Linked DNA regions of Nothobranchius furzeri. The protein of the gene in region 1 purifies or fractionates together with the protein of each later gene. This does not show direct contact. Links are inferred from orthologs where the notes say so. Each region holds a gene or a part of one and is shown on either strand. Other genes may lie near its edges.

Evidence for each region.
Region 2: the proteins of selenos (region 1) and derl1 purify together in Homo sapiens (affinity purification with western blotting; 6 studies listed by BioGRID and IntAct, with this or other methods). This does not show direct contact. The link is inferred for Nothobranchius furzeri from reciprocal best matches to the Homo sapiens genes SELENOS and DERL1.

What each region holds. Positions count from the first base shown.
Region 1 is NC_091749.1:6,253,592-6,258,376, forward strand, and holds the start of selenos (selenoprotein S), read left to right. Parts: upstream 1-1,580; 5' UTR 1,581-1,877; coding exon 1,878-1,953; intron 1,954-4,785. UniProt on the Homo sapiens protein: Involved in the degradation process of misfolded endoplasmic reticulum (ER) luminal proteins. Participates in the transfer of misfolded proteins from the ER to the cytosol, where they are destroyed by the proteasome in a ubiquitin-dependent manner.
Region 2 is NC_091745.1:56,656,116-56,660,901, reverse strand, and holds the start of derl1 (derlin-1), read left to right. Parts: upstream 1-1,711; 5' UTR 1,712-1,866; coding exon 1,867-2,019; intron 2,020-2,755; coding exon 2,756-2,867; intron 2,868-2,947; coding exon 2,948-3,012; intron 3,013-3,573; coding exon 3,574-3,600; intron 3,601-3,695; coding exon 3,696-3,791; intron 3,792-4,066; coding exon 4,067-4,119; intron 4,120-4,211; coding exon 4,212-4,322; intron 4,323-4,499; coding exon 4,500-4,626; 3' UTR 4,627-4,786. UniProt on the Homo sapiens protein: Functional component of endoplasmic reticulum-associated degradation (ERAD) for misfolded lumenal proteins. Forms homotetramers which encircle a large channel traversing the endoplasmic reticulum (ER) membrane.

The DNA.
Region 1 (4,785 bases):
GTTCCATTGCGAAATCGAATCTTCCGTTTTGTTTGGCTGGGTTGGAAGGAATTAAGGTTATTTAAGCGGTTCAGAGTTAATAAAGCGGTAGATATGATGTTTCACAAGGTGCTGCTAGAGTTATGTGAAGACTTACTTCCGATTTTACTATATAAAAAATAATAATAATCAACTTGTCCTCCATGTTTGCTCGGAGATGTACGGAGCATCCTGTCCGCTCATTGGTCAGTGAATGAAACCTCCGTTGATTGGTCCTCGCCCGAGCGACAGCGATGAAAAGTTGAAAATGTTTCAACTTTCTTGGATCGCATCGCTGGGTCGTCTGTGCACGACACGTGCACGAGTGCAAATTTTCACACGCACGTTTTTCGCGTTTCGCTTGGTAGGAGAGAGACTCGCGATTATCGCTTTGTCGCGTATGTCTCATTGAAAATGAATGGAGGAGAGGCGATGTCGCCTCCCGTGTGTCGAGCCCATAAGAGGAGAGGCGAACCGCGAAGTCCAGGAAGGTATGGTTCTTTCCAGGTGAGTAATCCAGTAAGGTTCTGCTTCTTGGATAGAGGATAATATCCAACAAACCCAGAGCGTCAGGGAAGATTGTCCAGTAATCCTGGAGAGAGGATACAAAACTTGAGTCCAAAAATCCAACACAAGAGTCCAAGAATAATCCAAGAAATTCTCCAAGCCAATTATCTACTTAAAAACCAAGCAACCTAGAACGAGTGGCCAAAATACTACCATGAGTAGTTAATCATCCAGCACTGTGTAGTGGTTCCCTCTCCTCTTAAATAGAGCTCTGCTGCGGATGACCTGAGAAGCTGCAGCTGCCACTGATTGCTAATACCCTGCAGCTGGTGAGCTCCCTCTCCTGAAATGAAGAGCTCAAAGATGTTATAGAGATGAGGAGTACTCACCCCACCACACAACAGTAATACCACATATAGGAGTAGTAGTTAGGGAAAGAACTCCAGATCATTTATCTGTGTACACAGTGGAGATGATAGCTATCTTATTTAGTCTTCAATGGATGGAACAAAATAGAATTAAAAAAGGAATTATATGTACTGATTTGTTATCTGTATTAGTGTCAGTTAAATGTATGTCTACCAAGAGTCGAATAGCTTTATTATATGAGATTATGAGACCATATTTAGATTAAGGAAATTGGGTGCGGAAGTTAAATTTTTATGGGTACCAGCACATAAAGGAGTAGAAGGAAATGCATATAGTGCCGCTGAAATTAAATCTATCATTAAAGCACATATAATGGACGAGTGGCAAAGAATGTGGGAAAGGCGACAGAAAGGAAGACATTTGTTTCAGATACAAGGGAAAGTAGGAAAATGGAAAAATATAAGAATGAATAGTAGAGATGAAAGAATAATATCAAGATTAAGAATGGGACATACTGGGCTTAATAATACGATGCATCTGATAAGGGAAACATCCCACAGGTTTGTGTGGATGTGGGGTGGGGGGAGAAACAGTGGAACATGTTTTAAGTGACTGCATAAAATATGAGGAAAGTAGAGGACAACTCAGGGAGAAACTAAAAAACATAGGAGGTGGAGTGATAAATGTAAAAAATTTGTTAAATGGTGAAGGAAGGAAATATAAGTTGGTTATTGAGTTTCTAAAACACAGTGGTCTGTTGAATAGAATTATTTTTTTTATTTTTATTTTTACGTTCTTACTCCGACTCACACTCCAGCACAGTAGGTGGCGGAAATGCACCTAGCAGTCAGATGCCACCCGCCAGAAAACACGAAGAAGAAGAAGATCTCGCGATAAGTGTGCAGAAGCGGCTGTGACAGAGGAAGCTTCCAGAAGTCCGTAGCTTCCTAAGTTTTGGTCCGCTCGTCGTGCTGGGCTCAGCGATGGACAGTGTGCGTGACTCATCTGGTCAAAACCGTCCCCCGGAGAACCAGGACCTGCCTTTTCTGAGCATCTTAGGTAGGTGACGTGTCGGAACCAGTCTGTCGCGAGAACGGGCGTCGCAGAAAATGGCTAGAAGCTACTTTAAGTCATACTCGCACTATTAACTCGGGTTTCTTCCGCGTGATTCATGAAAACGAGTTGTTGTTGGAGATGAATTAAAGAATTTAGGTTTGTCACTTTATGTTCGGATGTGTTTGTTACGAATGAAGAAGGCGTGTCTTGATTTTTTCTTCCTCCTAGTTTCTAAGCACGGCTCACATTCCTGCTTCAACCAACATCCCAACAGTTTTTTTATTATGAAATTATGACAATACAGCGTAAACAAACCTTTAGTAATAAAATTTATGTATAAAGGATAAGAACTTATCAGTCATCAAATAGAGAAAAAGTACAAAGTGTATCAGACCATGTCAATGAACAGAAGGAAAAGGGAAGGAGAAATTGATAACAAGAACACATTTAAGTATTGTTACGTATTTGTAAACTTTAACATTATTCATAAAGCAGTTTCAAAAGGTCAAATAGGATATGTGTTTTGTCTAATTTGCAATGTTTTAATGATTCTTTCAAAAGAAGTACTTCGTTTTTTAAAGCAGCGAGAGGTTTTCAAGTAACGGCACTTATGGATAAACTATTTAGCCAATATAATCAAATTGTTAATCCCAAATTGTAAAGTTTTATTAACTGTTTGTAAACCAAATCAAATAGTTTAAAATGTTAACAGGGGGAAGTGTATATATATATATTTGCATTATCCAGTGCTGAAAAGCTAACAAAAACATTAGTATTATCCATCACACCAATGGAAAAGGTGCTCTGCTGTTTCAACATCATTAGTGCAGAAAGACGCATGCATTTATGTCGATGTTGAACTTCTTGTGTAAACAATCATTTGATGGATAAATGGCATGCAAAATTTAGGAGTGGTTTTCTTTTGCTTTAGGTGGAATTGGGAAGGAAATGTATTGAATCAAAAAGCTGGAATTAGAGCCTCTAAGTAGGTGTTTTCGTTTGAGTTGTGATGGAAAATATTGTTTGGTGAGAGTCGTTCTTAAAAATATGTTGTTACATGCCTTTCCCTTAAAAGGACATCCTTCAGTTATTAAAGATGGCTCTCTAAGGATACAATTGGAATAAGCTAGGCTGGCTTTAGCCATCTGAATCACTGGTGGGGGAATGGCTTTCATAAGCTTGGCGAGTTTTTGTCTAGAACAAATAATGTCATATCTTTCAGTGAAATCATTGTATGATGAAGGATTCCCATCACCATCTAATAGATAGTAAACTGTCCAAACTCCACGATCCATCCAATCCTGATAGAAAACAGATTTTCTATGAATTAAGATGCTCCTATTATTCCAGATTGATGTTGTGTGAGGGGAACAATTGTGCTGATATATCAGCTTCCAGTACTGAAGGGCCTGTTCATGAAAATTTGATAGATTGACTGGTAATTTTGATATTTCAAAGTCACACTTAAGGAGAAATTCAACACCTCCAATGTTTGCAAATATCACTTTGGGGAGAAAAAAACCAAATTAGGGTTGTCACGGTATGAAAATTTAACCTCACGGTTATTGTGACCAAAATTATCACGGTTTTCGGTATTATCGCAGTATTTTTTAAACGGTGTTGCATATGTTCAGAAAGCATTGATAGTCCTGTTCTACACAAACTGAAATAGTTCTGAAAAGGTTTAACAGTGTTTATTAAACCTAAAATAACACAAAGCCTTAGCAAAAGTGCAACTTTTCACAAGTAAAGGAACAAATAGCTTCTTTTTCTGGAACATGTTACAGTAGTCAGTGCAGGTTTAAATTATACAAATCCAAACATTCAAAACATAAACAATATGTAAACAAATCAAAGAAACACCACTTGTTTTCTCATATACTTGTTTTCTTCATTATCAAAATGAAAATCTAAAACTCCAGTCCACACTTGACTTGAGCACTGTACAAGTCAACCTTAAAAAATATGTATTTAAAATAAATAGCCACTTTAAACAAATTACTAAAATAACTACTACACTATGTAATCAAATCCAAATGTTCAAGTATAAATGGCATTGAATAAGTAAACAAATCAATGACAAGGAACTAATTGTATATTTCTCTTCATCATCAACAAATGAGATGCTTCATCCAGCAACAGGGTGTCCGTGACACGGTTTAAATGCTGGCAGAGGGCGCTGCGGCTGCAGTATATGGTGACTCGTTGCATTCTCCCTCAGCCAAAAGTCCTCACATCATGCATTTAAGCTAAAATGCTAATGTTAACTTACCTTGCACTGGCTGTAGAGACGTGGGCGATGGTCACGCAGATGTGCCATTAGATTCGAAGTGTTGCTGCCTTTTGCAGACACCTGCTTCTGCACGTTCCGCAAACGGGATAGCCGTCTTCTATTAACTGTCCCTCAGCATTTTTCAGAAATCCAAAATATGCCCATACTTCCGATTTAGTCTTCTTTGAGGGCTGATGGATGTCCTGGGCGCTGCCGTCTCCTCCTTCGGCCATTATTTCAGCTTCAAAGTTTTGGTGCCGTCGCAAACTAAAAAGTGCGTGTGCGCGCCGCGGGAACTTCAGCTGAAGCGACGGTGGCTGGTAAGGGTCACCGCGCTGAAACCGCGGCCACGGTAAACCCACCGAGATAATTTAGTTTTTTAAAAACTGGACGGTTATTTTTATTGTCAACTTTTTTACCGGGGTTTACCGCTATACCGGTTACCGTGACAACCCTAAACCAAATATTGTTAAATTTCTTTAAAAAAGATTGCAGCCATTTTATTTTGATGGACCCATTCGTTGACTCAAAATCAATTGCATTTAATCCTCCTCCTTCAAATG
Region 2 (4,786 bases), on another chromosome or scaffold:
GTTTCCTCAACTGAAAAAAAGTGGATTTACCTACTGATCTTATCTGGGTATGACATTTAAAGGCATACTTTGCAACATTTTTCATTTTTTTAAATCATTTTCTTGAGCCAGTAAGTGCTAAAATGACTCTTTGCAGGATTATTGAAAGGCCATCCAGCCCCTATCGCCCTCTGTGGCCAGAATATTCCACTTGCAGCTTTAGCCTGGCTGTTCGCTCTGTTGGGACAAAAAAAATTGAGCTGACAAACCTGGCGCTGCAGTCTGCTTCCAGCACTATTCCTGCATTTAGTGGCTGCCAAATACTTATTTTTTTTAAGACTGATGATAATTTGGTGTCTGTAGGTTCAAGATTTAAAAGTGCCACAGAAGCATTTTTATAATTTAAATTCAATGAAATTCCTTAGACTTAACTAAGGAAGGATGGTTTCTGGGTTTATTTGCATCTGTCTGAACATCTGTCCTCTTCAGGTTTGTGTTCATCCACCACACTATGGGCAAGCACAATTTCAAGCATAATGCAATAAATACAACCGAAAAACATTAAATTATCATTTTAATCATTATGATACATTCTAACATATAAAACAGGTTACGCTAGACGAATCTTCTCCAGGATAACATCTTCCTACTCTTGCTTAAAATGCTGATAATTTATTGTCCATCCATTCATTCATTTTCTTCTGCCTATCTGGGGATGGGTCATGAGGGCATTATGTTCCAGAGTCTAATTTTCAGATTAGCATGAAACATGCAAATCAAATAAACACCAGCAGATAAAGCAGATCCATCACTCATTCCTGGCTACTGGATCTGTTCCATCGAAACAGGACAGAAAAAGTACAATAATCAACAAAAAATAAAAACAAACAAACAAACCACATCAATGCAAGGCTATGCTATCAGACAAATTGCCACAGCATAAAAAGTCACCAGTACTTAACAAAAAAAATTGTAATGTGATTTTTTTTTATTTCCAAAGGTGTGAACGCATCACTTTCAAAAGGTGCATGTAAGCTCCTGAACAAGACACGCCCCTTTACTTTGTTGGCTTCTTCTGAGTGGTTTAGAATCTGCTTTGCAAATTTAACAGGAAATGATTTGAAAACATCTAGAAAGTCTCCTTAGATAATTACGGTATATCCGGTTCTCATTCTGTCCTTCAAAATAAGAGCGCTGCTGTTCAAAATGAAATAAATTACTGATGATATAAGTTAATGAGATAATGCATATGGTTTAGCAAAAACTATGTTCTGCATCAATTGTATTCCAATGAAAAGTTATTGTTTGAATCTTGACTTACGCAAAAGGTAAAAAAGAAGAATTTTTGAAAATCGTGTTCTAAAAAGACAATTTAAAAAATACCAGTATTTTTGTACACATTTAAAGAAATTTTATTTTGTTTCATTTTATTGTTGTGTCCTTTTTTTATTGAAATTGATACATTTAAAAAATGTTTGTTCACGTTTGTGTATTCAGTATTTAGCATGTCACATTGTGCCCATTTCGTTGCATCTTACCCAATTCTGTGAATTGAACCAGAATAAAGGATATACTGTATTTTTCTAACTTTTTTTTATATCATCTGTTTTTCTTTTACTATCTAGTTTCACAGGCTTTCTGAATCTCGGCCTTTAAAAAAAAGTTCCTTTTTATTTTGAAAAGCTGTACCGGAACTTTTCGTTCTGAAAGTGAGCTCTGCAAATGCAAAGCTGTGATTAGCCCTTAGCCACGTCACGTAAACTTAGCAGTGGACGAGCTAATCGTTCAAGACTAAAGACTTGTAGTTTTAAGAGGTCCTGGGTTCTTTTCAAAGTGACTTTTTTTTTACATTTCGGACTTGTAGGTTAGCAGAAGACTTTTGAGAAGATGTCGGACATCGGGAACTGGTTCAGAAGCATCCCTTTAATCACCCGGTGGTGGTTCGCTGCTTCCATTGCTTTTCCTTTGATAGGAAGACTAGGATTGGTTTATCATAGCAACCTTGTGCTTATTCCGGAGCTCGTCTTTAACAAATTTCAGGTACGCACTTCAGTGATTTGTTCATCCGTGTCGGCAAAAGGATCAGTTATCATTTTTTACTCTCTGTTTATGTATTCGGTTAGCTAGCAGGTGGCTAACCATGACAGGCCTGAATCCCGACATGGCAGGATCTGTTTTCCGGATGCTGTCTATAAAACTCAGTGCGTGTTATTCGGGTGTTATTACATAAATACTAGGTTCAGAAAGATGTTCTGAAATGTCACCAAAAAAAGAAAAAACAAACAAAAAAAAACACGGAGTTTTAATGTGACAAAATACCAGCGTTAGATGATTTGATAAAGGACAGCTATTTTGTTTTTAGTATGCTGTTCTCACGGCGTCCACAAGGCGGCGACAATGTCTTGAGTAGTGACGAAGCGTGTTGGGCATTGTCTCTGGCTGCTGGAGCTTCAATATCAGATACAGGAAAGAATGTCGGATTTTAGGCGCAGGATTTCAATTCAGTTAAAAATACTTTATTTGAAACGCTAACTGCACGTGCTTGTTTATTATTATACAGGAGATCACATAACTCATTAAACGAATTTAACACCTTAAATTAAAATGCAAATTCCATTAATAGGCAAATAGACCTTCGGCTAAAATGTTTGTGTTGATCCTGCTTTATGTAAAGATCTTCACCCTTTAATTATCCTTATTTGTAATCTACGGGGTGCTGACTGTGTCAATATCACATAGTATTTTGAGGATTAATGCTTGTTTTTATTTGTTTCAGCTCTGGAGGCCAGTCACTGCCACCTTTTATTTTCCCATCACCCCTCAAACCGGATTCCTTTATTTGGTCAACCTTTATTTTTTGTACCATTACTCCACTCGGCTGGAGACATGTAAGACCGCTGCCATCCTGTGACTACTCCTCTCTGTAGTTTAAATGTTCTCTGCATCTGATGTTTTTTGTGTTTTTCAGCTGAGTTTAATGGCAGACCTGCAGACTATGTTTTTATGCTGCTCTTTAACTGGATCTGCATTCTTGTATCCTTTAACCAGCGCCCATTTAAGCCATAAGCTGTAAGCTTTTTACAATCAGAGGTGTATGGCGTTTCCTCCTGTATTTTTTCCTCTCCTTCCTGCACCTCTTCTCTCTCTGCAGCAGTGTACAATGTCAGGGTGGCTCTGTGCCAGTGGCCCAGTGTCAGTCTACCCCTGCAGAGTGGAGAAACCTAATCTAGGTTACATGCAGCACCAGCAGTCCAGCCCACACCTTAGCTCCATGCTGCTTTGTCGGGAGTTCAGCCCTGATTGTTAGCTCCTAAGGCTTTTCATAGCTATTTCTTAGCTATAAGATTGAAGAATAACATTTATCCACAAAAATATTTGGCTTTTACTGCAGGAAGAGGTAGGAATAAATACGATATTGAAGGAGTGATGGCCCCAGATCCCTTATTCTGAAGTGGAGAAGGCAGATGTGACTGCTAGGTCCTTTAAGAGCTGAAGTGGGGATTGAAGTGGGCGACCGTCCCACGAGCAGCTGCTCTGATCCTGAAATTCCAAATGATTCCAGCGTGTTGTCCTTGACTTGGAGTGTGTGTGTAGATAACTGCGATGCTGATGAACATGCATGTGAGTTTTCTTCTGTATTTACACCAAAACATGAGTTATGGACTACTTCACTCAAAGCTACAGCTGAACTAGAGCTTTAACGTCTGTGTTCTCAGCTGCTGATGATCCCGCTGATCCTGTCCGCGCTGTACGTCTGGGCTCAGTTCAACAAAAACACCATCGTCTCCTTCTGGTTCGGAACACGTTTCAAGGTATTCTCCTCAGAACTGTAAACGGCAACATCAGGACAAACACTAGGGAGGGGTAGGGGATGGATTAAGACCTGGCATTCCCTACAGGAATCACCTGCTGCCTCAAACACCACAGATCAACACTTCTCCTTATGCTGAGAAATTAAACTTTTAGATGTTAATCAGTTAATCATTGTCTGGCCGTTGCTTCAAAATTCACACAGTAGCTCACAATTGTGGTTGCTAAGCAGCAGCAGATATCTACACCTACTGACGAGGGGTGTGCTCTGTTCTAGGCTCATTATCTACCGTGGGTCATCTTGGCCTTCAACTTTATCATCGGAGGCTCGTAAGTCTCATTTCTAACTGAATTCTGTTATGATTATCAAGCAGCTTGCTGTTATGGTGCTCCTGTGACCTTTGACCCTCCATTTTATGCAGATTTGTGAACGAGCTGACGGGGAACCTGGTGGGCCACCTTTACTTCTTCCTGATGTACAAGTATCCCATGGATCTGGGAGGACGCTCCTTCCTCTCCACACCAGAGTTCTTGTAAGACTTAGAAGGAAAAACTTCCACTTTTGATATAAATCATCACAGCTGGTGTGATTACTCCGTTCTTACTGAAGCTGTGCTTTTTACCTTCGCTTTCTGAATTGGATTCATGGATTTGTTCCTCCAGATTACCTTGAATTATATTTTTACTGAGCACCTCCCTCCCATGTGCAGGCATCGGTTCTTCCCCAATCACAGAGAAGTGTCAGGCTTTGGAGCTGTTCCGGGACGGAGGCCTGCTGCCCAGGAGCGAGGAGGAGGCCACAGCTGGGGACAGGGCTTTCGGCTCGGCGGGGAATGAGACGATTACCTCCTCTTCTAGCTTCCCCCAACAGACTGGGCTGAGATTCGTGCTTCCTCATGTTTGATGCTTTCGAGAGAACAAAAAGCTGTTGCCTCCAGTTTCGACAGACTGATCATTTTAAAAAGTTCCAGCAGGATGAAATGTGAGGAAGTGTTTT